4 linked regions of the Schizosaccharomyces pombe genome follow. Changing the gene in region 2 together with the main gene of any one other region gives a genetic interaction. Each region holds a gene or a part of one and is shown on either strand. Other genes may lie near its edges. The genes, in order: mto1, alp14, klp5 and lem2.

Region 1 (8,215 bases), 670 kb from region 2:
ACCTAGTTTGTGGACTGCACTGATTGCAGCGACCATTTCTGCTAGGTAAAATCGGGTTTGATTTTCATGCAAAAGCCCCTTGGTAGTCAAAAAAGTTCGAAAATCTCCTCCAGGGACGTATTCCATTGCTAGATATACTTTTTCCTTATCTTGAAAGGCATAATACAGTTTTACAAGCCATTCGGAATTAGTATTCGTTAGTATATCTCTTTCATTCAATATGTGTTTCACCTGAGCCGTTGTTAGTTTTCTTTTAAGATCTTTAATAGTGTCTTCTTACTTCATTAAGTTGCTGTAATGTTGATTTTTTCATCATTTTCATTGCTAACAATTCGTGTGTGTTGCGCTTTTTAGCAAGCCACACAGAACCATATCCTCCTTGTCCAAGCTTTACTAATAAATCGAAATGGCTACATTGAATCTTGGTTCTTTTTTTTCTCAAAAATGCTCTTTCCCTTCCACAATGCTCTTTCCATAGTCGCTTCTGTTTAGATTGTTTTAATGACGATGTACACGCTGTAAATTCTTCCAATCTTTCCTTCCTTAGTTTATGGTACTCAATTGTGCTAATATAGTAATTGAGGAAGAAAACTTGACAGGCCATCCGCTTTCTTCTTGTCTCGGGTCGACTAAGTATTTCAACTTCACTGGGCTTTAGTAATTGGTAGTAAGTTAAACCTTTAGGATCATTTCTTTTCGTCCAGCAATTTTGTCTTTCTTCGTTGAGCACCATGCGTTCATTTTTCGAAGACACACTTGCTGACGCATTTTCCCTGTCTCGTAAATAGCCGCTTGATAGTAAAAATAAATCAGAAAATTCGACTCCATTTTCTTTTGCCTTTGATACTAGTTTGTTATTGTCTAATTCTTTAAGGCCCAGTAGGTCCATTCTATGTTTGTGGAATCGTTCTATAAAATTGTCCCAAGTGAATTGCTTTTTCCATGCAATGGATTCTTTCCTTTTTTTGCTCCTATTCAAGTTTATGTGAGCTCAATTTTGAAATTTATTTTGAGTACACGTTGTGCCTGAATAAAACTCGATTCTCCCAGCAAATGTAAACAAACACCGGGTTCTGGGAATTTTTACAAAGATGATACATGCGCAGTAAAATTTACTTAAAAAAGGTTAAATAAAAAATTATATTTCGAATTCTTTTGCGCGATTAAAATAAATTTTTTTTACGAATATGTGTGATTATTTCCTTTATAATCAGGGAGATACAAACACCAAAATGGTTAATCGAGAACAAAAAAAAATAAAAAATAAATATAAATCTTGGAATTAGCTTATTTTGTCAATTAAATTCTCCAACTAAGTAGATATGTACTGGTGATTAAGAAAAGCTATATACTTCAACCGCAAACTATCCAGATTATTATTTATGTTCTTGTGATGATATAGAAGGAGACCTAGAATTGCTTTCTTTATCCGTTTTTATTTGCCTTGAAAGACTCCTGTTTTGTCGAATCAAATCTTGAAGCCTTTCTCTGGCACCCAACTTGTCTCTTTTACGACCTTCTTGCTCAGCCTTGAGTTGAAACTCCATCTCTCTTAGTCTCAACTGCCATATATGGCTCATTCCTTCAGCATCTCGTTTCAAAGCTGTGATACCTCTTTGAACTGCTGACTTATCTGGAGAAGCGGGAACAAGCTTTTTATCCTCGGAATCCAAACTAACGCGTTTTGAAGCCCTTGGCGAATTTGGAATAGATGAAGTTGACCCAGCGCCTAAAAGTTTCACTCGTTCTTCCAACTGTGATAAACGCTTACTTCTAGCCTCAAGTACACCATCAAGCTTCCTGAGTTCGGTCTTAAATTCCCGCTCCATTGATTGACACTTCCGTTTGAATTCTTGAATGGATTTGTCCAACTCCCTAAAATTCATATTTACTGCCTGATTCATGCTTGAAATTGTCGTCAATGCTTCAACGTTGGTATTTACAGGCTTACTTCCCGTATTCAGTTGGGTAAAACGAGTGACAATGTTTTTTATGAGGGAATTTCTTTCTTCCACTTGCTCTTTAAGGCGTTTTTCAGATGCTTGTAAAAGTTTAAGTTCTCTAGATTGACTCCTTTCAGAAGGACTGGAAGATCCAGAGAGGTTTCTTCTGAAAGCTTGTGAAGACAAATTTTCCAACTCTAATTGGATTGCTTTTTTGGATCGTCTTTCCGCATCCAGTAAGTTCTTTAACTCCTTCTTTTCAGACACTAACGTCTCCAAAGAGTTTGTTTTTTCTTTTAAACTTTGCTCACAATGGTAGATTTTTTTCATCAACTTATCAGTACCAGACTGATCCTTTTTATTCTCATCTTTTAGTTTTCTTATCTGTTGTACCAAATGGTTAACCGAGCAGTGGGTGACCTGTTTATCAAATGTTTCCATAATAGCATTCTGCAAAGAATCGAAATTTTCGCGAAGGGTAACGTATTGATTATTTCTTTCCTCAATCTCACTTTTTAAAGAAGAGTTTGATGACAATATACCTTCAAATTCACGAAGTTTTTTATTTAATGAATCTAATTCGTCATTGTGCCTTTCCTTCAAGTTGCTAAGATAATCGGCTAACGATTCTTTACTCGTTGTAACGCTTTCCATTTCAGTTTTTAACTGACTAAGTTGATCATTTAACGACTCAATTTGCTCATTGAGTAAAAGTTTGTTATCGTTACTTTTCACCAGCTCGCTTTCTTTCAAAGCAATTACTTGCTTGTTTTCTTCATTTTCCTTCCTTAAAGAATCAACTTCTGCTTCTGTCATTTTCAACTGTTCAAGAAGATTTGATGTCTTTGAAGTTGAATCTTCCTTCGCTTTATTATTTTCTTCTTCCAAAGTTTGCAGCCGCTTTTGTAATTCGTCAAATTCATGGCATTTATCGTTATAACGTTCTGACAATTGGGTAATTTCATCAGTAAGCTTTTCAACCTCTTCTTTGAATAAAGAGATACTCTCCTCATTTTCCCGTATTGTTTTCTCGAATTTCTCAATTTCACGCTCTGCTTCAGTCCTAAGTTTACCTACTACTTCTTCGTAATCATCAGACTCTTTTGAAGACTTTGACAGCACCTCTTTGGTATCCTGGAGTTCTTGGGTAATCTCTTCGACATATTCCTGGAGTTGGTCAACATCTTCCCGCCATTGTTGCTCCATTCTCATCAATTTATTTTCATAATCCTCTTCAATATCTTGCAACTGTTTATATAAACGAGTAAGTTCAATTGATTGCTCTTGGGTTTTCATTCTAGATACCATCATAGAATCCCACAATTCATTCTTGCTTGATTCTGCCTCTACAATCGCATTCATCTTCCCTGAATTCAAAGCAACGGTAAGCTCCTCCACTTGTTTAACCAGGCGATCATTTTCCTGCTTGCGAAGTAGTAATGCTTCATTTTGCATAGATATGTCCATCCTCAACAGTTCATTACTACGCTGAAGTGTTTCAATAACACGCTCATCAGTATTTTTTGCAGGCATAGGAACTTTTTTGGATAACTGTACGCGAAGGGATTCCAACTCTTGCAATAGAGCTTCCTTTTCCCGCCGTTCGTTATCAAGCATATTTGACAGTACATTACGATCTTCATTGTATGCCCCAACAGAATAATTCGTCTTCTTTGATTTTTCTTTTCTCAAAGCCGCAAACGCTCTTTTGGTAGTTTCAAGCTCTGAAAGAGCCTGCGAATACCTCGATTGAAGAGTAATTAGGTTTGAAGGGGCCGGGCTGGGGGTGGAAAGGTTAAAAGACTGATCAGGCTTAATCCGGCTTTCTAATCCAGATATTTTTTTCTCATAGCCTGCAACGGCTCGTTGAAGCTCCATAGTAAGGGTCTTCAAATCGATGTTTTGCTTCATAATATCTTGAACCTCCTGATCGTGGAATTTATTTAATTGATCGTATAGAAAGTAGCATTTCAGTTTCAACCCAAACACTTCCTTTCTCAAATTATCAATCACGTTTGCTTGTTCCTTTAAAGTTAAGGAGGAGCCGGGCTGAGATTCCTCAAACTCTTTGGCAAGTGCATTTTTCCTGTCTTTTAGGTCTTTCATAGCAGACGCCGGTATCAATATATCGGAGATCTTTTTGCTTAAAGCATTGGTAGTGGGGGCATCTTGAGAATGTAAATAATTTCGTTCTTCTTTTATTGGGGTTAATTGCAAATCATCTTCATCATCCAAATGAGGTAACTGATCTAGAGAAGAAGAGATATAGTTCGGACTTGAAGGGTCCGAAGTATAATCGTAATTATTGTAACTATCTTCTTCATACTGCTCTTGGCTCTGAAACCCTTGATTAGCCGTAAGTACGGGAGAAAGCTGTTCATCATCAGTAGTAATGTTGTCATTGAGACGATCAAAATTCGTAGTATCCAAAAAAAAAGGTGCAACAGAACTATTTCCCTCCTCGTCCTCGCTATTCAATTTATTGACTGATTCATCGGGAGATTGAAGCGGAGTAGAGCTCGTTGGAGCAGTAGCATTTTGATGGAGACGAGGTGATCCAGAATCAGATTTTAAAGAATCTCTATCAATTTCAAAATCATACTTATGAGAAGCTTCTTCCGAATCTTCGTCTTTTGATGTAGAAGAGGGTAATTGCCGAGATCCTTCCTTTCTGGGTGATAAAATGCGACGAACTTCCTCGTCCGTCAGCGAAAGACCAGCTAAATTATCCACTAGAACATTAAAGTTATTACTATCTAACTCACTGGAATTTTCTTCCATAATTGATTAGAAAACGAACTTCGACATAAGCAAATCCAAAGCAGTAGGCATTGACTCTTGTAACAATTTCAAAGGAGCGATTTTTGAATAAGAAATTAATTCTTTCTTAAATTGTTAATTGTTAAAAGAAAGTATGGGATCGAAGATATGCCTATTGATACGCTATGGCATATATGTAGTGGCAGTAGTTCTCAATGGCTGTCTCTACTTGACGCATGTTAGACTAACGATCAACAAAGTAGTAGACTTGTAATTGCGGACTTTACAATTTTAGAAGGTTTAATGTTTGTGTTAGAAGCAGATATTTTCAAAAGAAGTTAATGAAATTAATTATACATTTGCACACACTCGTTTACATTATAAATAGCCATGTTATTTGGCATGCCTATGGCACATACACAAAACAATAGTACATACATTGATGATATGTAAAACGTAACTATGATTTTCATTAGATTAACTCTCCTCAAGTTAAGGTATGTTAACCTCATTTCACACTGTGAATCCTAAGTATATTAATTATTGATGGAATAAACGTTAAAAACACTAAAGTCCGCTACGATTATGCTTGAGTACATAGGTTTTCACGAACAAGCGTAAATTTGCTTTCCTACGTATAGTTGGTATGTAGCCTGAAATTATTTGTTTCAGTCTCTATTTTCACCGTGTTACATGATGCTACATTTCGATGATTTCAATCGCAACGGTAAATTGAACTATGAATATACGAACAAATATACTTTTCATTAAGAGAACATTTTTAATTTGCATAGTGTGTTCGAAACTTGAATTGAGTGAATGCGAAAATAAAGTCCTCTACAACTCATCAACTTGAGATATGTAGAGCAGCTGAAAAAAAATAATAATAAATAAATAAGTATATGTAAATTAATTTATCTAAGTAAATTAAGTTAATACTACTCAGTATTTTTTTTAATACAACAAAGAAAAGCATTCTTTCTATTAAGCGAAGGATTTTTTTTTTTTTTAAATCAATTACAATCATCACTTACTAGAATGAACCAACTAGTTGAAAACTTTCTTTTCTTTTCAATTTTTTTTTTTATTCAAGCTGATCATTGATCTGATATGTTTTCTTCAAACATTAATTCCATGAAATTGTTTAAAAAAATTTGCGAAAAAAAAAGTTGACAGGTATGTAAATATTACTAATATAGATTATTACAAAATAAAAGAGAAACTTGGCATCATCACTCGCTCTACATAATTTTTATTAAGTAAAAATGGTAATACATAAAAACTGCTTCAAACTCGTCAGTTACGTACTCTGCTAAATCGGTTAAGGTGTCAGCAATATTACATACGCTGCGATACACAACGCTGAATATCACTATATGCTACATATTCTAATTATACCATAGATGATACGATATTACGATTGTTCCTAATGAAATTATAATAAGTTCTATACTATCTGAATAATGCAAATGGAAGCACAATTGAAATGAAGAACGAGGATCAGTTATACGCTATATTAGTGATAGGTAAAAATATAACCTGTATAACAGAATAACTATACCCCAGTTGCGACCTTTATGACCCGCGTATTGCAATATGAATGATTATAAATATGTATTAAGATATTTGTAATAATGTAATACATTACTATGAATGCACTTAAATTAACTCGCGAATGAACTCATAAACGGAGTTCATTTGAGTTTACTTATAGAAATTCAATGAAGGATATATCTATATTCACCTTATATAAATGATGCGGGTATATAACGATCCAATATACAATCATTACAGTTCTGACTCTGAAAATATGATGTCCGACAGCAGCTATCTGAATGCGATTATGCCGACCCTATGCTAAATTCATTTAGTGCTACTGCATCATGTTATGCGACCAAAACCATATTATTGCCAGAGGTCATTTAGCCACGGAAAGCTTACAAGCAACATATGTTGAAAAGAAGAGTTACAGCGTCAAAAATCGTTCTTAACAACGCAGTGTGGTATTAGTTTAACGAGACATAAGGACCGCGTCGATTTGTTCATGGCATGCTTTATCTATAGTGATATCTTTAATATAGCCTTACATTTACAATGATATCGTCATACAAAGGACGCCGCCACTAAACACGTTATTTTATTTAGCGACTTCTAATTTTGCCGCTTAATAGTTTTTCCACGTCGCTAACCACTAAACACCGCCAAAGAAACCGTGGATTATGGCCACCACCAAGAAGAAAACCAAAGAAAAAGAACAGTCACATTGTAAATATGAGATTTAAATACATAAAAACATATTATTATTTTATTTTAAGTACTCCTTCTGTATTTTCTTAGTTGCAAAATTTTCATTAAGAAAATCCATTCATATACAACCAGGACCTCCGCTCATCTACCAACAACCATTTCCCCGGGATGTCTGCAAAGAGTGAGAATAAGCAGTCAGTCAAAGCTCTTGAAGAGTTGTTGAAGCACCTTACTGTCTGCGATGCCGCAGAGGAAGCTGATGCTGCCAAGGCTTTGGCTTCTTTTGTCAACGGACCCATCGAAGAGCAAGACGCGCCTTCTCAAGTTTTCTCTGCTATTTCCAAGCAGTTGAACGACAAGAACGCCACTGCTCGTGAGCGTGTCTTGAAGGGTCTTGAGGCCGTTGCCAACCATGGTAGTGTTGCCGCTGATGTCGAGCCTTACTTGGTCGAGTTGTTGCCCGCCGTCATCGCCAAGGTTGCTGACAAGCAAAACGCTGTCAGAGATGCTGCCATTGCTGCTTCTAAGGCTATTGTCCGTTGCACTACCCCTTATGCCGTCAAGGCCATCGTCCCCTCTGTTCTCGAGTCCATCCACACCACTGGTAAGTGGAATGAGAAGATGAACTCTTTGCAACTTTTGGATGTTCTCGTTGAGGTTGCTCCTTCCCAATTATCCTACTCCCTTCCTCAAATTATCCCTGTTGTTTCCGAGTCCATGTGGGATACCAAGGCTGAGGTTAAGAAGCAATCCAAGGAAACCATGACCAAGGTCTGTACTTTGATTGCCAACGCCGATATTGACCGTTTCATTCCTGAGCTTATCAACTGTATTGCTCACCCCGAGGAGGTCCCTGAGACTATTCACTCTTTGGGTGCCACTACTTTCGTTACTGAAGTCCAGGCCCCCACTTTGTCTATCATGGTCCCCTTGTTGGCCCGTGGTTTGAATGAGCGTTCCACTCCCATTAAGCGTAAGACTGCTGTCATTATTGACAACATGTCCAAGCTTGTCGAGGATCCTCAAGTCGTCGCTCCTTTCTTGCCCAAGCTTTTGCCTGGTTTGTACCACATCAAGGACACCATTGGTGACCCTGAATGTCGTTCCGTTGTTCAACGTGCCATCACCACTTTAGAGCGTGTTGGTAACGTTGTTGACGGTAAGATCCCTGAGGTTTCTACCGCCGCCAACCCTGAAGTTTGTCTCGAAACTTTGAAGGCTGTTCTCGGTGAGATCAAGGTCCCCACCAACGAGGAGGTTATTGC
Region 2 (7,672 bases):
TGAGCGATTGGAATCTTCGTCGGGGTTAAACTACGAAAGTGAAATACATCAATGTATTCGTACTCTGATTGCAGGCAACGGTGTTTAGCTCCCCTTCTCTATTTCCTTGAAAGAGCATAAATGGTACAAATCACTTTTATTGTTCAAATGAGGCAGGTTATACCTAAAAAAAGATTATTATTTTGGAACAGTTTATGATCTTAATTTTTCAACTCAATACAGGACGGACACGATAAATTTTCTTTTAATATTTTATTGCCTTACTGACATTTAACATAAAAAAGGGATCATTTAACTCCGCGTCTACTTGCTTTAGGAGGTGCTGAATAAGATTGTTTATTTACCAACATAATTCATGTATTTGAAAATTATTTTTTTACTCAAACAACTGAAAAGCTAATACTTCCTTACCCGTTCACCTGTATTTACATTCCATTTTACGAGATGATAAATTTCATTAAAGTTAAGTGAAAACTTCGTTGTGCCTCAGTATCAGAAATATGGAGCTTAGCAACAGTAATTAGTATGTCTTTTGCACTCTCTGTAAGGATACGAAAAACTGTGTCGGCATTTCTTTGTAATGTATAATATAATGGAGGTAATATTACTTTGCTATCCTTAGTATGACTAGGGCTATAGAGTATACCATTATAAATATAATAATAACTTTTATCGACCTAATGGAAGAATGAGAGTTCATTTGGGCTTCATGCTTTTTATTAAGTTTTATTTTGGAATAAAGGATTAACTTGCATGTCATATTGTGAGTATCAGTCTCATGCCCAACGTTACTAAAGAGCACTCATTGTATAATGATAGCTAACGCCGCTCATATGGTGAATGATAACGATAGAACTAATTATACTGAAGCTTCGTTATTTCATTGTTATGACCCTCTCATTTAAATGACATATCTCGTACAACATCTCCTCCATTTAATTTACGAAAACTATAAATTGCCAAGTATTCTTTTCAATTCTTTGTTAAAGGATTGTAAGGTTAAGCTTGACGTTGAAATGTCTCTTTTTTGGTGCCCTTGATTGTCTCTGCCCTTAATTTACATGGACAATTCGAGAGACAAAATACATATTTTAGGAGCGGTTTCTGACACCTTTCAAGAAGTTCAGCATCCTTGTTCTATCCTTAAATACAAGGTGTACTTTGTGACAACTGATACATTTTATTGTAAATACCTTACTGCAAGCTTTACTGGTCTGAAAAAGTTTCCTACTGAGAGACAGTTACCGCTGGAGTGTCATTTCAATCATATCGACTGGGATCTTGGAAATAATTTCAAAGTAAAGGAAGGAGTTTTCTATACGTTTGATATCATTGCTCCACTTCCTAGGTGCACCCCACGAACGATTGTGACTCAAGAAGGTTCGATTTCTTACAAATTAACGGTTAAATTGTATACTGAAGATGATTGTCGTATGCCAAAGTCAGCCAATGTTCCTGTAGTTGTACCTTTTACTCTCAATCCCGATCGAATTCCTGAATCTCAGCACATACGTTATGGAGCGCCCCTAAACGATGCGTGTTTTACTTCGCTATCAATGAAGTCTTCAAAGTATTCATTTCTAACTGCGTTCTTTAAATATCCTCAACAGTGCTATAAAGGACCAGGCTGTGTTTGCCCACTTTTAATTGATTTGGAGTCCGAAGATGCAGATGTACTGTCATCTACCCCAGGTTCTGCTGGAACAGATGATCCCCATATAGATCCCATTGCTATTAACTCCCAAGATTCTCAATTTATCTTTCAAGATCGGTTACCACGTTTGAGTAATGATTGTGATATGAAAGGACGCTCTTCATTATCTCGTACCTCGTCTCCTGTAGTCGAAAAGAAGTTAAAACGCTATTATATACGAGTGCTTCTTGTCCAAAGCATTACCTTTTTTCTTTTTAATGATGCTTTTCGAAACTCCATTACTGTCCTTTTTGAGGATGGTAAGTGGTCTCCACCTATTGTTCCTGGCCTCCATTCAAGAGTTGAGTTCACAATTCCTGTGAACGACTTAATTCACGGAAGCTGTACAGAAAATCCACACCTCCTTGTGCGACATTCAATTTATGTATCAATTCACTCTCGTGAACCCTCCTCTTTATCCCGAAAACTCGCTCCCCCATTCCTTCGGACTCACAAAGCTAAATCTAATTCACTATTTTCTATGAAAAGACCCTCATCATCATCTTCTTCGCTTTCTGGAAGCTGGCATGGCGATACTGAAAACAGCGTAAAGCAATCTTTAGCCTCTCCTTCCGAAGCCTCCCTACCAAATTTATCTAAATACTCTCGAAAAAATGCGAAAAAACTAAATGAGTGGCTAGATTCCTTGGATTTTAAGCTTCCTATATATCTGTTTCATAGGAAATTAGAGTCGGAATTGTCCCATTTACCGCCTTATTCCCCTTATCGTGATTCTTATTTCTACCTGGAGGACGATGATGGTGATGCCGATACTCCTTCCACCGCTTCTTTGGACTACTTTAGCAACATCAGTCCTCCGGACTTTTTGAACAAAGCTTAGAACTTTTCATTGGGCAAAGACTCATGTGATTGTTACTCTTTTTTCGACTGTCTGTACTTTACGCATATCTTTATTTTTTTTCTTCTAACAATTTCTTTATTATGTTTAATTTTTTTAAAAAGAGGTTTTCGTTTATACTTGGTACGGCTATACAGTATACTTGTGATGCAAAATTAAACAGACTACTTTTTTTAATGACACTAATACGTTTAATGCGATAAATTCGTACGTTAAAATTCTTTTATTTATTTTATATGTTTGTTTGTGTTGTGTGTTTGAGTTACCATTTGACTCCATCTTTAACCTATAGTTAAATCTGATTTTAAGAAATTTGGTATAAACGAGAATACGTATTTTGTTATTATTTTTGTAAACCGATATTATCATTATTCTAAAACATTAAAAAATAGAAAGGGAAGTAAGGGACATTGGAATGTAAACGAAAGAATTTAAAAACTAGTGAATCAATCCCTGATGTCTTTGGTCTGTTTGTTTCATCTCAGTAATTTTTTGTTTTAGTTTGGCAGCTAAATCAATGGCTTTAGTCCAATCAGGATTGATATTATTGGCCCTTGACGAAAACGGTGATCTTGGTAATTCAGCATGAAACGTGAAATTACCATTTGTTTTCGCAGATGCTAAAGGGGATCTCTGATTCACATCTATAGAGCTATAAAGTTTAGGTCTAGTAGGTTCAAATTCCCTCACTGAACGTTGAAATGAGGGACTCGTAGAGAGCTCTAAAAAGTCAGTATTAGCTCTTCGCATAAATGCAGGTTTTCTGTCTCCTATTGGTGAGGCTTTCCTGGCACTGCGTAAGGTATTTAATTCACCTTTCAATTCACTGAGTTGTTTTTGCATAGAAATATTCTCTTCATGTTCAACTTTCAACTGCTCTCGTAACTCCTCGTTTTCTCTCTTCAGAGATTCTAAAGACGAAATGGTAGAGTCATTGTCTTCTAATACTTTAGGGTGTTCATAACGATCAACTCGTGAATGCTTAGCCGGTTGAGGAGCCGGATCGTCCAACTCCATGTTCTTCAAATTTTGCACCGTTTCGTTAAGTGCTCCCGAATTCAAAGGAGTGGAAGCTTTTACTTTTTGTTGCAAACTGGAAGATGTGCCTCGTGAAAGCCCTCGAGAAACTGGCCTCGTAGTCGGTCTTGGTAACAAAGGACCATTCTCAAATGCATTACCCTTTGATACATCCATGGAAAGCGATTTGTTAGTTGCCTTTCGTGGAGATGGTACAACTGGACTAGAAGGAACAACGGATTTCTTGACAGCCTTAGCATTTGAAGGTACGACGACTTTTGATTCTTCTTGTTTTGAAGGTTTAACTTTCGACTTTTTTGTAGGTGCCTTAGCCTTTACTGTAGCTGTTTCATAAAAAGAACGAATTTTAGATTTCCTGATGTCGTCCAACGGACTTAAATACTGATTAATGGCTCTTTCACCAACGAGTTTCATCAAAACACCCAAGGCTTCTGCTGCCGCACTACGCACCGGCTCAAAGGTATCAGAAACACCAGGAACGCATGCTTTAGCACAGGTATCAACTGTAAACTTAGATGGTAAGGATGTCATATTACTGAAAGATCTCGAGAACAAACTAAAGCAGGAGCTTTTGATTTGAGGATTTTTGTTCCCGGCAAAGCTAGCAATGAGCTCGGCTAAGTCATCCAAACTGGATGTAGCCAAAACAGCATCCATCGCAGAAGATAGTGATTCGATTACATTAGCCTTTTTCTCTTTGGATCGTTCCAACAGTGCATTAATAGATGTTGAGGCATACTTCGAAAAATTTGAGCGTAAACCTTTAGCCATCGCTTGTATACAGTGTGCAGCATTTATAACCACCATGATATTTGCGTCTTTTGAAACAGACTTTGTGAGAATAGCAACTAAATTAAAAAAATCGTTGTCTTTGATCTTTGGTTGAGATAAGACAGGAAGTAGTTTGTCTAACGCTTCCTTACGATCCTTCCATTTCGAAGAAGCCATTAAAGTTTCCAGGTTAGGATCCACATTGGGTAAAACGTCCACTTCTTCTACCAAATCAAATTGATCATCTGACGGTTCTGGTTCACTTTCTTCATTCTCGAGAGCAGGTTGCTCTTCTACCTGTGTTTCAACATTCGGCTCTGATGTAGGTTGCTGACTTTTCAAAAAACGAGTTTGTTTGGGAGGCTCTGTTGGTAGCTCAGCAAAAAGAGACTCAAGCTCTTTCGTCTGAACTGGTCTTAGATCTTTAAATAGTAAATCTTTTAAAGGATCCCCTGTCCACCGATAAATGTTTACAGTTAAACGAGATGCTTCCTTACGAACATTTTTATCAGCATGACCAAACAAGTTGGAGATATGTGGAATAATCATTTTTGAAGGAATAACTTTAGCACCAAACTGCTCAACTAGACTAGCAATGGCAGCGACATTAGAAGCTATTACCTTCGGGGATCGAGCCGATAAAGAAGGAATGATTGATTCTATAACTGGCGCAGCTGAATCTGCTTCAACTAATAGCATAAGAGCTTCTAGTGCATTTTCCCTTGTACCTGCGCGAGGTGATGTTAAGCATTTCTCTGAAATTGAAAGGACTGATATTTCACGAGCTTTAAGTAAATGAGAAGGATCGGAAAACCTGCAATAAGCTACAAACGCTGCGGTACCAGCTTCTTGAGCTGCTACGTTGCTATCAGTCAGCACTGATTTCCACAATTCACTCTGATTATTCCAAAGCTCAAAGCAATTATCCGAACCATCTGCTGAAAGTGAAAACGATTTGCTGCACTCTTCATAAGCAGATAGACGCACTTTCCATACTTTATGTACTATTCTTGATTCTAGAGGAAGTTTGGAGTAGTCTTCTTCTTGATCTTGGCTCATGTTCCTCCGGGGTGCCAAAAATTAAAGGAGCGTATAAGATAAATAAACAGCAAATGCTCTCCCAAAACTCCAATTCTAAAACTCAAAAGTTGTACTTAGTACCTTTTCTCCCTTTTTTGAATAAATAATAAGTAATTACTCGTTAAGCCTGTAGGCAAATACAACACTGTCAAACTTTACAGAATATCGATTTAGCAAGGCCGGAGTATATAAGTATTAACTCGTTGAGTCAACAAATTCAAACCTGAGAAAATATAGCCTTTAATAAAAAGTATCTTTATTAAGACTTAGGTTTGCAAAATAGATGTTTGGAGTTGGTAAGTGTTACTTTTGGACACTACCGAAAATGCAGTCATTCAGTTGAATATAAATTACTTCCTAGCTTGCTCCGTTCTTTCAATAAATGTAAACGAGTAATAGAAAGGGAAAAAAAATAAACTAAATTTCGTAGAAGTAATCAATGTTCTTAGTTAGATTTACAACTTGCATTCTATTACGCTTGAAAATACTTCTTAGTTAAAATCTTGCCTTATCTACCTTTTAAATATAATTTATTTTTAAAAAAAATTTTTATGTGTTGTTTTTTTCTCTAACATGTAAAATTGTGTTTGAGTTAATTGAGAAGACTACTACACCAAAGTTTTTGATACTAATAATTAAAAATACATATTTATATATATATATAACAACTAAAGTAATGAATCAATCTGATGAATGTCTACCATTCAGCACTAATTATGCCAACCTAACAACCCATTAACCTTCCTTTTATTTATCGACAATTATAACAATAAATAATTTATCTAAGCATTTTTAACCACCCCTCAGGTATGTTTAAAACAGGCCAACCCAATCTAACATTACCAATTGTACTTATTTTCAAGTTTATCCCAACGTAACGTTCAAAAGTCGTACACTGGTATCTTCGCCAGCAATTAAAAGAGAATACAACCCCATAGTTTCAAAAGTGGGCTTCCATAAAATTTGGTTAATTGACTCCATAGGAGCCATGTGGTCTGGTAAACGTGTTGGGTACCATTTGGTAAGATTCTCTCTCGGGCATCTCCAAATAAATATTTTACCAGCTTCAGTTCCTACCGCAAGCAAGAGTTCATCGTTGTGAAAGAACGGAGCAAAGTCAACAGCGGTAACAGCATCAGAAAATTGGAGAGCAGCAACATCACATATTTTTTTATTGTCATTGATTTTCCAAAATTTAACCTAAATAGTTAGCAAGATTTGATCAAATAAAAAATTACTCACGAATTTATCACGCGAAGCAGTCGCAAAAAAGTAACCCATTTCTTTGGGAGCCCAACTAGCATCCCAAATAATACGAGAATGCGCTTTTATAGAAGCAAAGTTATTATAATCCAATAAATTTTCGGCTTGCTCATGCAAACACACCAACCGATCCCGCCCAGCACTTAAAATGTATCGGTCATCAGGTGAAAACTTTATAGTTGTAACCGTCAAAGAATGACCTTTAAGGACTTGCTGCTGATTCCATGACTGCGTTTCGTATAACCGAATGACAGCATGTTCGGGGGTTTGTGATTTACAAGAAGTCGCGGCAATATTACCATTATTAGATATGGCGCATGCATAAACCTCATAACCATGGCCGAATAATTTTTCAACTTCCGGAAACAATAGCAAACGCTGTAAGTGTTCTTCAAAAGGAGGATGGTTCAAAGAACCAATCACATCAGCAACAGGAGTCTGAACTTCTTCTGCATTTACCGTACCAGTTTCAGATGCAGTGGTAGCTTTATTAGAAAGACCTAGTAAAGGAACATTTGCAGCATCAGGTAAGCTTTCCTCCCCAATATTGGTATCGCATAAACGGTAAAGAAGTCTAACAATTGTTTTAGGGAATTTAAAAACACGAGACACCTTTTCATCGGCACAGCTCAAAAATCCAATTCGAGAAGGCATACAGGATATAGAGGTTAAGTCATAGCCATGGATCTGAGGTCGAGCCATTTCATGCCAAGCATTATCCTTTTTAAAACGTGCAAACAATCTAGTAGTTTGATCTGTGCCGGCGGATAAATAGAATTTACCTTCAGGATCCCAAGCAACGCCTTTCACTGACTTTGTGTGACCAGAAATAGATGGAAGTTGGAGCCATTGCCCAGCATCTTGCTTCCAGAGTCTCCATCCACCAGTTCTTCCCCAGCATACTACACAATTACCATTTGGGTTCCACAAACCTCCCCAAAACCCTCCAGCACTACCAGTTGCTGTAG
Region 3 (7,612 bases), on a different chromosome or scaffold from region 2:
AATGGAAGGTACTGGTGTTAATAAGAATGCTTCTACTGGCCGCTATTTCTCTGAAAACGATGCTGTCCGTGTTGCCCAAGGTGTCTCTGGTTTGGTCGTCGACAAGGGCTCGCTTCTTCGCTTTTTACCTTATCTCTACACTGGTTTGCAACACGCTCTTCAAGATATTGGTACCAAATCTCTTGATGAGCTTCATGAAGCTGTCGACAAGCATGAAGTTCGCTTCGAGTTACGTTCGAGCGCTGCCATCCGTGAAGGTGATATCCAAGGTTTTGCTACATACGAAAAGCGTCTTTACTAGTCGTGTATAAGGATATTTAGGAAAAATTTAATTAAAGTTAATAAATTGCATTTATAGTACTTATTTTTTTTTCAAGTCAATTGTGTTTTGCTTAGGTAGAAAAAAACAAAATTATGTACATTGGAGGTGGCAGACATATATGTACGCTTGTATTTGATAGTGCATTACGAACGAATTGTGCAAGTTTACTAAGAGAATTTTAGGGTTTATAAATATATAATCTAATAAGTTATTAATTCATTAAAAATTCATATCATCAAGCTTATCCGTTTTTTTTTTTTAAATATACCCAACAGGATATTTAGAGGATTCGTATTTGAATATACGGACCTTTAGGTGGCTTTCTCTTCTTCGTTTTCAGCCATGCTTAAAGATTTCCTAATAATGTTAGCTGGATTTGAAAGATGAAGAGTAGTCAATGAACTGAGGCTTTGTCGAGTCTTCGGTTTAGAAAAATCAAAGTTGTGAATAGCTTCATTGTTGAGGATGAATGTTGGTGAGTCCATATTGGCTCTGGAAAAATTCAAATCAGGAACTTTTGGGACTGGACTACCATCCAGATCAATAGTGTCCAGATGAGGTAAAGAAACATCGTCAGTTGACGAGTCCTCGGCCAGCAGTTGATCAAGCTGTGTGGATTCACTATTAACTTCTTGCTTTTTCTCCAAAGGACTTTTTATCAAAAGTCCAGGTTCTGGTTTATCTTCCAACATCGGGGAGACAGGCGAAGTAAGATTAATTTCAACATCTATCTGATTCTTATTTTCAGGCCGTTTATGTGCAGGAGTTGAAGGCATATGCATAGTATTAAAGAAGTTCATGTTCTTTAACTTAGAGGTTTGAATGGGTGAGTTATACGCGGAGGCACCTGAGTCAGACGTAGACATTGAATCGTCGAAACGAACCCTCTTTTTTGGAGAACGTTTTGAAAATACAACTGGTTTTTTTGGAGACTTCACGAAAAACATTCGAGGCAAGTTATTATTAAGCAAGGGTTGAGTGGGAAAACTATGAACTCTATCACGATTGATAGTTCGTGAATCATCGGATGTTGAGTTGAGCTTATAACTTTCTGATAAGACAGATATATTAGGTTTCTCGCCAAGACCAATGCCCAACAACCACTTTTCCAGTATCGAGAATAGCTCTTGCATACCTCCCTCTTTTAGCAATGAACTAGCTTTGAAAGAACTTCTAAGAAGGGATTCTAAAACAGGAGTGAACTCATCAACTTTATTCTGAGCATCTAGAACCTGATTCTCAATAATTGATTTTAGCAAGTCAACTTCATCCTGTAACACATCAGCGTACATGGTAGCACCTTCTTGTTTGTATGTGTTGATAATGTGAGAAACACTTCTCTGAAACTTTTGGTATACAAGTTCAGGATCTATATCAGCAATGATCTCTGCACGACGAGTTAACAATGATTCTAACTTTGAACGAACTAAAAATACTCGTTCATCTGCGGAATTCGGAAGTATTCGCTCATAGCAGGATAACCAGTACTTAAGTACGCGAATTGAATCATCAAAATGTTTCACCTTTTCTACCTTATTAATAGTATCATTTTGCAGTGGTAAAGTCTCCTCAAATGTCATACGCAATAAATTTCTGGCTTCTGCAAGCTTCGATTCATGAGCAAAAGATTGAGTTACAGCGTCCTGATCAGAACCATTTGATTGCGATGACAAATCGATCTGTGCGAGACGATTCTCCAACTCTGAAATTTGCTCACGTAACTCAACGATTGCTTTTACATATTGGCTTACATGTCGATCTACACTGATCATGTTCCTTAACACTTCGGTTTTGATATTCTTTGCTCGATTAGCATATTTTAGAGTATTGTGAGTTTCTTCGTAATGAACAGAAGACGGAGATACGCAAACAATCATAACTGTCCGACAATTTCCGCCTAAACTAAACTTAAGTAAGCGAGTAAGTTTAGAATCACGATAGGGGACATGCGCACGGCGATGGGGATCACAAAGGGCATTGATACAATTTCCTAGGGCTAAAAGAGATTTATTAATATTAGCACCTTCAAAAAGACGACTACCTCTTAATTTGGTAGCTGTTGCACGTTCTGAGCCAGCCAAGTCAATAATTGATAAAGTGGCCAAAGTGTGGTCCTCATTGATGCCAGCTGTACGAGGTTTTTGGATCAACGTAACCTGCAATACAGCATGCGAACGAGATGAAGCAGCGTTAGCTTCTGTCGGAGACATAGTACGATTAGCATTTCCCTTCATGATAATATCAATGATTTCTTCCAAAGATTCTGGAGACAAAGAAGTAAGACCTGGTACAGTAATGCGACGGTCTGCATCTTCCCGTAAATTTAATGGCTTTGCTTGATTTGGGGTCGGTGATACTAATAAATCACGAATAGTTTCATTATAAATTTCCAAATAGGAAAGGCGAAGGTCAAAAATTTTTTCATCTCTTAAATGATCCATTCTCTCAAAAAGTTCTTTTAGTGTCAAATATATTAAACCAGGATCTTGCATTGTTCCACTAATGGTGTGAGTTTTACCACATCCAGTTGCTCCATATGCAAAGATAGTAGCATTGAATCCATCCAAAATATTGTCTAATAACGGCCTGGCAGTTCTCTCATACACCTGTTGCTGAGTAGCAGTTTCATCAAAAACCCTATCAAAAGCATAACGAAGATCACGGCCAAATCCCGCAGAATTGTTTGACTTTCTAGATAATCTAGCGAGACTCTGTTGAGAAGTAGAAAGTCTGCGGTTTGTGGCACTCAAAGTAGCCGTTGTTTCATCCGGGGGATCAAATACCAAGACACGTCCATCAAGTACCTTTACTACTCGTCGAATTTGACGTCCTGAACCAGGGTTCCTTAAGGAAGAAGATGTTCCAAATGATAAACGATCTGAGGATGCAATTAAATTTGCAGATTCAGCTGTACTAAATGGGCGAACACGGACTATTTTATGTTAGCAAAAAGATATGAATTTAAAAAACATCACATTAAAGACTAACCTGTAACGGTAATGGACGACTGTCTTGACATTGAAAAGCAAAATTTCCATGCAAGCAATCATCCAAAACAGATGAAAAGAAGGGCACTCGCAAACAACAATTCCAATAACCTTCTTGAATAAAAGCAATTTATATCGAAGATCACTATTAAAATAGATGTAACAGTAGAAAAGAGCGAGAAACGCGTTTTTTGAGTGCGCTTCAATGTTGACTGTTTGGCATTTGCCAAGTTACATTTCTTAGTCAAGTAACGCACTTTGTTTTGAATGGTTGTTATGGCAATAAAAGATGTAAACAATTACATTATTTACATATTTTGACAATAAACACAAATACAGGTAGTTACGATTAAAATCGAGTTGAAATACTGTTTTACCTTTTCATTTTCACTAGTTGTGTATAATGCTATCTCAGTATCATAGATGCTTTTACAGTATTTTTATTATTATAAAAGGCAACTAAATTCGATGATTGAACTGAATCGCTATCGTTTGGTTTGTAACTTATAATGTACACATGCCTGGCAAGATTCTTGCTTTGCTTTACTTTTATCACACTTTAATAAATCGTCCGACAAATTTAAATCATTTTCACCTATAATTGCAATAGAACATCAAATAAGTGTATATATTCTTCTAGCACTTCTATAAACACCACAACTGCTGCACTAGCTACTTTATTGCCAATTAACTGATGGCCTAAATATCTGATTAGTTTGAAAGCAGAGGACTAGTGAGCGCTATAAACAAAATTATATTCTATATTTTATATTGGGTATTCCTATATTCGTTAGGTACTAAATACTGAGTTTTACTTCACCTTTTAGTCGATATCGTTGAGACTTTTACCAATAGCAACTATAATGAATTAGGGGTTTTTCGTGCTATAACATTACCGCTCAATTTCTTTCAAACCACCAAGCGTCAAATTAGAACTACCTACTAAGCATTCGAATATGCAATAAAATTTCACCTTTGCCATAACCATAAATTTTACTATTGTTGGATAAGTCTTATTATTGCTAAGTAATTGATTACCTTAAGTTCATTTATCAAATAACAAAGCTCTACGTTTCAAATTTCAAAAAAAAAAACTTAACCTACTCATTGAGTTGTTTCAAATAAAAAAAAAGCAATTGGATTCTCTTCTGTTGGAAAGCACCCTTCATACAGCAATATTGGTATTTAAGGCATTGAATTTAAATATATTACTATGGCATTTCGTGATTCAACTCGCGATTTCAACAGAAGTAGACCTGAAAAAAGGCATGCTTCGAGATCTTCTTCACCTCGTTCATTTCGACCTTCAAATCAAAATGCAAGAGCAAATTATAATTTAGTAAGTAGGAAAATGTTAGTTGTTTTTGAATTAACCTTCCCTTTAGCCGAGAGTGAGAGATGCTATGAAAGAGGAAGAGCGAAGTAGGGAAACGAAAGAAATGCAAGAACGGGAATTTTTGCGTTTACAGCAGCTTCGAAGAGCTATTATTCGACTTAAGAATGATCGTTCTAAGCCTATAGATAAACTTCTTGTCAGCGTTTACTTGATGCCAGGCCCAGAATGGGAAGAGAATGGAGAAAAAAATTCAATTGATTTTGGAACAGTTGACATGTTTGATCCACTCTCTGTTATTCAAGTAAGGGACTTATTTTATTTTTACTTTATAACAGATTAATCATTAACATACTTAGAGTTATAAAGCAGAAGATTTGGAGGAGATATCTAGAAATATTGGTGATATTCAGCAGCTGGAAACGAACCAATGTAGACTAACTTATTGGAAGGTATGGATTATTTTTTATGCTTTAAGTGCTAAATTATACATTATAGTACGTTAAAATGCTAGTGAATTCTCGAATGGAACATAACAAAGTTGGGCAATTTTCAAGAGGGTTAAAGGTCGTAGCAGGTGAAGTACAAAGGATTTTAGCCCCTAAATCTTTTGAACAATTAGAACAGCTTGAGGCACAAATTCAAAAAAAATTGAAGAGCAATGTCCCTCTCGATACAGATTATTGGGTTGATTTACTAAACTCTTTAAAATCTTACAAGGCCATTGCTTATTTAAAAAAGACTTTTAATGAAGAATTACAAATTCGAAAAAATAAACTTGATAATGAAGAATGGGACAAAGCTTTTTCCGATGCCAAAAAACTGTCAAATATGAAGGATCGTGAAGAGAAGTTATATATTGTCCCTATAGACCCGAAGCCCATTTTGAGGGCTCAAGCGATACCACGCAGGATACAACCTGAAGAACAAGCCGATTATGAAAAAGAATTGGTAAGATATTTGTGTTTTTCATAATATTAACTCTCTTCCAAATTACGATTTCCATCTTTTGTCCTAACCAAAATCTTTTCTAGAATGATCATGTCAATATTGTAAAGTCTAGCACTTATATTCCAATATCGATACCTACCCAAAAACAAAAGCCAACTTTGCCGAAAAACAGTAATCTGATTAACGAGGATGAATTTTCAATTGCCAACAGGGCACGACTCGAAAGAGAATACTTACAATCCGATGATGCAGAGGAGCAAGAGATGCTTGGGGACTATGTAGAAGGGCAAACCCGTGTTGTTAACGAAAACGGGGTTACTTTGAAAAAGCCTCACTACTTTAATAGAGTTTTGCTTGGGTTTGAATGGAATTCTTATAATCAAGCACATTTCAATGAAGCCCACCCACCTCCCAAAGCAGTTCAAGGGTACCGTTTTAACGTTTTTTATCCAGATTTAATAGGTACAGGCCGTGCACCAACGTATCGAATAGAACGAACACGAAGGAAGAATAAAAGCGACACTACTGATTTACAAGACGATGTTTGCATTATACGTTTTATAGCTGGGGAACCATATCAGGATATTGCCTTCAGTATAGTAGATAAAGATTGGGATTACAGTGCAAAACGAGATCATGGGTTTAAAAGCAGTTTTGACAATGGTGTTTTATCCCTCCATTTTCGATTCAAAAAGCTTCATCATAGAAGGTAAAATAACTGATTTATCATGTTGTACATTTAATGAAATTTAAATTACTGTTACATGTGCAGCTAAACAACCTTAAAAGGCATCTACTAAACTACTTAAGTATTGCATAAATAAGTTTAATCGTAAAGAAACACGAAATCGATTAGTTCGTGATTGAAAAGCTAAACTAATTCAAGAAGAAGGGGGTGATAAATAGAAGGAAAAGGCATCATAGAAATTTGAAGTTCCCTGACATAAAAATATGCTTCGGATGTCCTCAAAAAGCATCTTTCTTCCCCTAATTTTGAAAGGTTAGAAAAAAATAGTATAAATCGAGTAATAACATACGAAAATGACTCTTCCAGAGGCATAAAGGGAATACAAACCAAGACCAGCCATAACAGCGTAGTAAGGATAAACAAGAGCAAAACTACCTGGTCTCTAAATATTAAACAATTAGGTTCTTTTTTCTCTTCATAATTAAAAACAAGTTTCGTTTAAAACTTACCTGCAAGTAAGTTGGTTTGTGGATGCTTTGGAGAAAGCGTTGTTGTTGAACAATAGTATTCTTCATTTTTTTCTTTTTTAATTAATAATTGTTTTAATAATTATAAAACGAACCAATAATCAAGTTAACAAGTTAAACTGTTAAAAAAATGAGGGTTAACGATAAAATGTAGGTAGGTGCGGAAAGGATTGATGGTTCCAATTAGTACATCTTGGTGCCAGAACACAGAGTCAACCTCATAAACTCACATATTTAAGTATATTAATAAGACGGTTAAGTGAAAGATATTCGTATTATTAAAAAAATGCTCCTTTATCGTTTTTGGTATGTATCATTTTAAATTAATCTTACTGAACGAGATTAACGCTAATAATATAAATTAATTGTTGTCAAATAATTTAAGGACGGAATCATTGTCAGATTGATTCTTCTTCAAAAACTAAAGCTATCTCCTTATAAGCTATTGGGGAATCTCTTTCAAACATGGTATAAATGCGTCCATGGCATACTCGGAGCAATAATAGTATAGCGATCAAAGTTAATAATGAAGATGCATTTGCTTGTACTTATATAAATTCTTATGGTTGTTGAGATAAGGGAACAATTTTATACTGAGTTACATATGTTCTATCCTTCATCAGTATTCTCTACAAACGCGAAAATTCCTTGTCCATTTAAGCAATTCGTATTACAAAGCTCTATGTTCATATTATACGAAGGACGTTGAAAGTTTTTAATTGATTCTGACAATGACTTACAGATAGAATATGATGGTTTGAGTTATTGAAAATGCTAAATCGTCTTTTCAAGTAATTGATGAAC
Region 4 (7,235 bases), on a different chromosome or scaffold from region 2:
TATCCAAATTGATGTGGAAATACAAGTAGAGGTTGATGATGATGATGAGGAGGAGGATGAAGTGGTAACAGATGATGATGGAACTAGCAATGCCGATTCTGAAGTTATTACAGCTTCAACGTTATATGAACGGCATACTGCTATTTCAAGTGAAATGACATCTAGCACAATATTGACTCCTCCCTCATTAACAGACACTCGTCAATTGATGCAGCAACTGGATCAGCTATTGTATACTTTATTTTCTTATTTAGATTCCAATTTAAAATCTACTAGTAGAGATCGTTACTTGGTTTATAATAGTTTGATTAAATCATTTGTGAACACGGTCCTTAAAACGTTCCGTTGTCGATATACTCAATTTTTGATATTTTGGGCTTCTCAGTTGGATCCCGAGTTTACTGATATTTTCCTTGGAGTGCTTACGGAAGTTTGTCTTGACCCATCACAACCTTATACTTTAAGATTAAGTGGTGCAATGTATATTGGGTCTTACGTTGCTAGAGCCAAAGCTTTAGAAAAAAATACAATTCAGATCATCGTTAATATGATGACTCGTTGGGTTGAAGCTTACTTAGATCAATGTGAAAACGAGCTGTCCGATGATTTACTATCTAAACACTCGGTTTTTTACGCAATTAATCAAAGTATTTTTTACATATTTTGCTTTCGTTGGCGTGAACTTTGTGTCTCTGATGAGTCTGAATCCATGGAGCCAAGACCTAACGAATGGATACCGGGCTTAGAGATACTTCATCGGTCCGTTCTTTCTCGGCTTAATCCATTGAGATACTGTTCCCCCAATATTGTACTTCAATTTGCAAAGGTTGCAAATCATCTCAATTTTATGTACGTCTATTCCATTATTGAGCAAAACAGAAAAGGAATTTTTAGAGAAGGGTTCGACACTATGGATGCCTATTTTCCCTTTGATCCTTACCGGCTTACGAAGTCTTCTATAATTGTTCAACCATTTTATAACGAATGGCAACAAATTCCAGGTTTGGATGATGACGAGGAAGAAGAAGACACAGACTACGAATCTTCAACCGTAATGTTGGGTGAATCTCCCTTTTGAATTCCTTTATTTTTTTTTAAATACCCTTTCTATGTGACATGTCCTATTTTTTCTCCGCTAATTTCTTACTCTAGACATGCCCATATTCAATCAAAAATGGTACTGGTTTTGGTTTTTATTTTAAAATAATTTATTTGGTATAACTAAGAATCACATTAATATAAGAAATACAGTTAAATTTCATCAACCTTGCAAACAAGTCCTCATTATACCAATTTTATGTTTCATTTTTAATATGTATAAGCATTCAGATAAATATATTATTAACTTACTTTTGTATTAGCTATGAAAAATGTCATAAATACAAAGCTAGAAATACAGTCGAGAATCATTATTCACGTAAAGGGGAAGTTGTATTAATAAATGAACGATCGGTTTGGAAATCCAAAGTATTTGTGCCGACCCACTCCCATACACGGGTCCATTCGCCGTCTACTTCTGATTCACGAGTTCTTACACTGCCAACTTGTTCAACACGTTCGACTATTGCTTCCCAAAGAGTTCGAGCAGTTGCTTTCGTCATATGAATTTGTTCCAATGGGCCATTTCCATGAAAGAGTATATCATGCATTTCGATTAGTGGTATAACGGGTTCTTGAGATCGAGACATTTGATAATTTGCTTTCTGTCTCTTCAAAGATTCTACACAGAATCGAGAAGCCGATGGTAGATACTTTGCTACGATACTGCGAGTACGAAAAAAATTGATGAGCTTAAAAATAACTCCTGACAACGCAAGGATTCCAAATAAAAAAACTTTGTTCCTCCAAACAAATTTTATCAGTTGCTGTTTTAAACGACACCGCAAAGGAATACCTGCCCAGCTATCGTAGCAAATTAATTTTGAATCCATGACAACTTCATTCGTTTCAGAAAGTACTGCCAAAGAAGCTTTAAATAAGTCCTCAAACATTTCAAGGCCAAGGGTTGGAGATTTTCTTTCAAGAAGCGTATCATGTAATAATCCTAACGCAAATGGTTTTGATGGGAAGGAGATATGATCAGATGATATATTAAGATTATCGGCGACATAAGGGTGCGCATTGTACGACATATTTCGTTCCAGCAAATCTGACGAGTTATTGCTACAATGCAAAATTGCATTCCAGGATCTTAATACACTTAAACATTCTTCACGAAAAATATTAACACTTTCTTCTCTAGAAGTATCACTAACGCAATACTTGGAGGGCCAAAATCCTAAACTTGAATACCATGGTTCGTAGAGGACATATCCGGGCTTGCATTCAACGTAATTTGGAGAGGGACATATTGCATTCGGAGGGCAAGTTCTACACAATGATGGAAAACTTATTCCAAGAATTGAAGCAGAACTTCCACTGGCACCCGAATCACAGAATCCTGCTGTAAACATTTTCTCCCGTAATAAAGCCAGAAAAATTGCTGCCACCACTCCTAATAAAATCATAAAAATATGCACTAAATAAGAAGAAGATATCGCGCTGATTCCAGGAAAGGCGCGCAAATTGTGAAGAAGACGATAATTGGCGTACTTAATGTCGTGAAATACTTTTTTAATAAACGACCAAAGTTTGCTTTCTTTTCGAGTCTGCTGCAAAACGTAATTTTGAAAAAGCTCGTCATCTTCCTCAGCAGAGTCTACTTCAGAATAAGGCGATGAAGATTCAGAGGGCCTTGCACTGTCAAGAGGAGCAAACTCGATATCTCGAGAGACTCGCTCAGGAACATTAGTAAAGGGTCGTTTATGTTGAAGAGGACTAGAAGTGGCTGAAGTTTGTAGACGATGTGATATTTTGGGAGACCTCAATTGTGGAGAAAAATTGTTTGAAGATGAAAGCAGCTTTAACCTCTCCGAAAATGCTGGCGAAGTATGTAAAGCAGAGCTATCCATAAATGACATAGGAACAGCTACCCTATGAGATTTATGCGAGCGAAATTTTGGTGTAGACGCGTGGGCTGGCGGAGTTTTCATAGTCAGCGATGTTTCCACATTAGGGCTCAATTCAGAATAGGACTGAAAGGTATTATTTTGAGAGACGTGCGGAGACTCTATTTTAACCGGGGTTTCAATGTTGCTAGGTTTGTCAATGAATTGTGGAGACAGAAGCGGTTCTGTTTCGTTGTGTGGCTTTTTCGTGCTTTTGGAAGGAGAGGAGGGATAAAGGTATTTAGGAGCTATTTCATCCTCGGAGCTAGACGCTTTTGAGGTGTTAGAGTTTTCCTCTTTTTGAAGATGAGACAATAAATGTTGTGGACCAGAGCTTAATTTGTTTTTCCGTATTCTATCCACCATCCTAATATACTCTATTTTTCTGGCATTCACAGGGAATGACACTCCCGATTCATGAAGGATCTTTTTCAAGTCTATGACACGAAGATTTCGCAATTCGAAGTTAGGGTCCTCCCAATTGTCCATGGTGAATAATTCAAACTGATCAAAAATGGTATAAAGCTGATATAAGCTAGTTAATTACATGAATCCTTATCTACATTAAAAAGGAAACCTGGCATAAGTTGCTGATTCGTGAACGTAATTGCAATCCCATACAAATTTATAATATTACAGCAATGAGCTATAATATACTTAGGAAATTGCTTGAATTCCACTGTTCAAACACACCTTTTCAAATTTAATAAAAGACTTCACTAAACGAAGGTAAAGCAATTTCTTATTTCTCTATCTTTGTGCCGAATCTTTGTTTTCCTTCTTTCTTTTTGCCAGTTAAAGTGGGTGGCAAATAATGGTTAAGGGAAGAAAGCTCTATAAGGAGGCATAGCGCAGCTCATTGCTTTGTGTCACCTCAGCCCAAATAACGTATATTGGGTAAGAGTGTTGCCCCCGAAGTTATCCTTAACCAACATCAATCACTAAGAATACAGAATCCATGATCATTAGGGATTACTCGAATTTTGACTATAGTAAAAAATGCAAAAAGACATTGGACGTAGATTTCAACGTAATAAGAAGAAAATTAATTCTAAACCGGGCGGAGCAATGGTTGCTTCCAGCGATGTCGAGTTCAGTTTAGATGGAATGTCGATTATGCCCCAACGAGATGGTAATCTCCAGATACCTAACTTTGTGAAACCCAAGAGTACTTTTGCTACTTCTAACATTGGTGAAAGCAATGGTAAGCGAAATGGCGATAAAGTACGCGGGAATCGACGCTCTAAATCTGGTCACAGTTCGTATGCTGGCTCTCGTATCTCAGGTGGCAATTCTAATTCCCACCTTCCTTCTGGTGTTGCTTCGGCTCCTGCTGGCTTAGGAATTGATAAGGTTGCCGTCGGAGAAGTTGATTCTCATTTGAAGTCTGTATCTTCTTACGTTTCCAATTCTTCCGGTGCTGATCGATCTTTTTCTTCGAATTCCTCTTCCGATACTAATTCCATTCTTTACGCCGGTCCTACATTTACTCATTCTCCGGCCGCTTCTAATCTTCCCATCCCTACGTTCTTACACTCTCCCGTTTCCGAAAAGGCTGAATGGCAACCTCCTACTGGTAGTGTGAACTCAAACATGCCTTTCCAGTTTCATCAATCTTCCTCTGTTCCTTCAACCCCATCCGAAGTTGCCATGGGTCATAATTTTTGTCCGATGTCTCGTAACGATCCCTCATTGCAGAGTATTCAACAGACGAATGGATTTTACAGTGGACACAATTCTCCTCATACTAACTATTCAGCTTCCACTCCTTCTTTTAATCACTTCAATGCTGCCGGCCATCCCACTGGTAACATTACCCCTACTTTGAATTCCCCTAATAACGGCATTCATTGTCATTCTACTTCTGCCCTAGACTTATTGTTTCATCGCGATCGTGAACAGCGCTTGTTCCGTATGCTGCGTCAAGGAAGTGCATAGTTTCATTGGATGCTTATTTATGTCTAAGGACATATCACCTTTTTAAGCCTCGTGTTCTGTTCTAACTATTCCACTTTTTTGTTTCACCTTCTTTCGTCTCCGCGTTTATCTACACGTGTTCGTTGTAGCACTATTTATTTGAACATTGGCCAAGAGAATTTATCATAGTCTAGTATTTTTGCTAGTATTATGACTTTCTTACTATCACCCTATGTACCTCTGTCTTTCTGTTTTTTTGGATTATAGAATTTAGCTCTCTATATGGGTTAATTTTGTTTCCTTCGCTTTTGGTTTTTAGAGGATTTCATACAAAAGCTACTGAATTCCTTTTCTAACGGCTTATAGTTAAAAGAAATGCCAACGTTTTTAATGGATTTCTTGGATTTGAAATCTTGATTTTTATTGACTAGATTTCCTTAACTTCATCTTATTCCTTGTTAGTTAATTGAGCGAGCAATTCATTTATAATATGGAAATGTTCGTCAATGACTATTTATCGAAAATGTGCCTCGTTTACTTTTCGATTTGTATGCTTAGAATGGGCATTTGTTACCTTTTTTATGAGCGTTGGGTGTTATGATCTGCATATTGCATTAATTTTATTCTGGCTAGTTTTTATTATGCTATTAATAATCTCGTTGTGCTTTTATCGAGATTTGTTTGAAACTTGTTTCACCGGTCTCGTACATTTTTTTCTCTTGTGTTTTTTTCTTTTAATTTTCCTAATTATTACTGACGTGTTGCCTATTGCTTTGCGATGACAGTACATCTTATTTTCCTGTGTCGAGGATTATAGTTATAATCTTCTTTTCCTCTCATGAACTTGGCTTTGGTTGCCAACCTTTTAAACTTTCGTCCATGATATACATGATGTTTGCTAATATAAGTGATATTTATGTGGTCACCTTTTTTGGCGAATGTTGTAACCTATCTTCTACGCTCAAGGAGTACATGCAATGTGCTTTATGCTTTTTTTTTTTTGAATGTTTGCAATTTTCAAGCCCTCGGTTTTTGAGCTTTCATTGCTAGTCAAGATAGTCAACTTATCGTTGATTATAATATCTTTCACTCGCAAATCGTTTTTACGTAAAGACTGAATTACGGCAACATTTATTGCTCTTATTTGTAAATAGTTTTGGAATCATTTCTTTTTAAAACTTTAAATTTATCTCTTTCCTTCATTGTTTACAAATAATGTTGCATTAAGTGGTGATTTAGTTTTTCTAATATAAACACATATTTCCGTCACTGATGTGTCGCGTTTGTGTATTTATCCACCTGATATGTGCAACAGTATTAGAAGGCACGGTTTTTCTGTGTGTTGACGATACCTGTTTACACATTCCTTTTAATCCACTTCCTTTACTTCTTTTCCGTTTTTTTTTTATTTTTATTTTTATTTTTTTTTTTTTTGCTGAAGATGGACTTATATTACCTGCATTTTTTTAGTTAATATAGAATTCATTGAAAACAAATTTTCGGCGTGTGTAGATTTTTTATAATTTTTTTGTTGATTTAGATAAGTCATTGTTTTGTTCAGCTCAATGCGCGAGTGATATGTTTGGTTTTACACTTGTTGGTTTAAGCGGATCGTAAGTTCGTAAATATGCGTTATCTTGTTTAAGCAAGGTAGGTTAGATCTGATAGTTATTTGTAGCTACCACCAAAAGCAAATTTCTCAAGCCATTATTTTTTGTCGAAACCCAATATCTGGTAGACTAGCTTTTTCATCATTCATGCCTACTTATTCCAAAAGGAAGTCTAGAGGCTCTTTAGAGGTTTCTGAGAAAACCAATCAACCCAAATTCATAAAGAGAAGTCAATCGAGTGAAACAATAACGTCAGGTGAAACTGCTAGTGAATTGATGCAAGATGAAAAGGAGCAGAGTAATGGTGCAGTAGGTTCTATTGAAGATGAAGAATTACAACGACTTCGTGAGAATCAAGCTTCTGTTGAAGCTCTTTCGAAAAAGCCAGAGTCTATCGATCGAGAGTTGGGTGTTGAGGCTTTAGAAATAGATAATGTAGTAAAGTCAGATGAAGAAAAGGAGGATCCCAATGGTGCTTCTTCCAAAACCGTCAAAGCTCGTCCACTTCCTGCAGGGTCGGTTCATCGTGTTACTACCCATATGGCGCCAATACCAGCGAGGTCAATTGGTTCTCATGATACTACAACACAGCGTTTGATTGTCGTATTGGACCAAGCATGTTTGGAAATTTATAAAGTTGGCAAGGCTAAGGATGCAAAATATCAACTTCTAAATTGCGATGATCATCAAGGTATTTTAAAAAAGTTAAACCGTAACATTG

Evidence for each region.
Region 1: of alp14 (region 2) and mto1, changing one enhances a phenotype caused by changing the other (phenotypic enhancement), as found in Schizosaccharomyces pombe (one study listed by BioGRID).
Region 3: mutations in alp14 (region 2) and klp5 are lethal when combined (synthetic lethality), as found in Schizosaccharomyces pombe (one study listed by BioGRID).
Region 4: of alp14 (region 2) and lem2, changing one enhances a phenotype caused by changing the other (phenotypic enhancement), as found in Schizosaccharomyces pombe (one study listed by BioGRID).

Annotation. Positions count from the first base shown.
Region 1 is NC_003421.2:1,678,548-1,686,762, forward strand, and holds mto1 (gamma tubulin complex linker Mto1), read right to left. Parts: upstream 4,725-8,215; coding exon 1,377-4,724; 3' UTR 1,214-1,376; downstream 1-1,213. Other genes in the region: mug27 (protein kinase Mug27/Slk1), read right to left, coding at 1-231, 281-889; tef3 (translation elongation factor eEF3), read left to right, coding at 7,119-8,215. UniProt on the Schizosaccharomyces pombe protein: Spindle pole body (SPB) component that acts as the gamma-tubulin complex-binding protein of the SPB outer plaque.
Region 2 is NC_003421.2:1,009,510-1,017,181, reverse strand, and holds alp14 (microtubule polymerase alp14), read right to left. Parts: upstream 5,740-7,672; 5' UTR 5,421-5,739; coding exon 2,991-5,420; 3' UTR 2,868-2,990; downstream 1-2,867. Other genes in the region: ATP-dependent RNA helicase Ucp12, read left to right, coding at 1-88; SPOM_SPCC895.08C (uncharacterized protein), read left to right, coding at 1,062-2,534; elongator complex subunit Elp2, read right to left, coding at 6,306-6,641, 6,684-7,672. UniProt on the Schizosaccharomyces pombe protein: Required for bipolar spindle formation and proper chromosome segregation. Has a role in connecting the kinetochores and the plus end of pole to chromosome microtubules. Also required for the activation of the spindle checkpoint pathway.
Region 3 is NC_003423.3:1,708,581-1,716,192, forward strand, and holds klp5 (kinesin-8 family plus-end directed microtubule motor Klp5), read right to left. Parts: upstream 3,538-7,612; 5' UTR 3,342-3,537; coding exon 3,311-3,341; exon of another isoform or gene 3,255-3,310; coding exon 634-3,254; 3' UTR 501-633; downstream 1-500. Other genes in the region: IMP dehydrogenase Gua1, read left to right, coding at 1-301; cay1 (cactin), read left to right, coding at 4,523-4,648, 4,695-4,946, 5,002-5,094, 5,141-5,593, 5,677-6,306; cytochrome c oxidase subunit VII Cox7, read right to left, coding at 6,560-6,580, 6,631-6,723, 6,791-6,856. UniProt on the Schizosaccharomyces pombe protein: Has a role in establishing metaphase during mitosis. Required for chromosome segregation where it generates tension during kinetochore capturing.
Region 4 is NC_003424.3:2,230,839-2,238,073, reverse strand, and holds lem2 (LEM domain nuclear inner membrane protein Heh1/Lem2), read right to left. Parts: upstream 3,797-7,235; 5' UTR 3,477-3,796; coding exon 1,410-3,476; 3' UTR 1,301-1,409; downstream 1-1,300. Other genes in the region: RNA polymerase I general transcription inititation factor subunit Rrn3, read left to right, coding at 1-1,078; protein Edc1, read left to right, coding at 3,987-4,925; rRNA (pseudouridine) methyltransferase Mra1, read left to right, coding at 6,662-7,235. UniProt on the Schizosaccharomyces pombe protein: Nucleus inner membrane protein involved in meiosis. Plays a role in regulating nuclear envelope (NE) morphology and nuclear integrity, particularly during spindle pole body (SPB) extrusion or insertion through the NE, and perhaps during karyokinesis.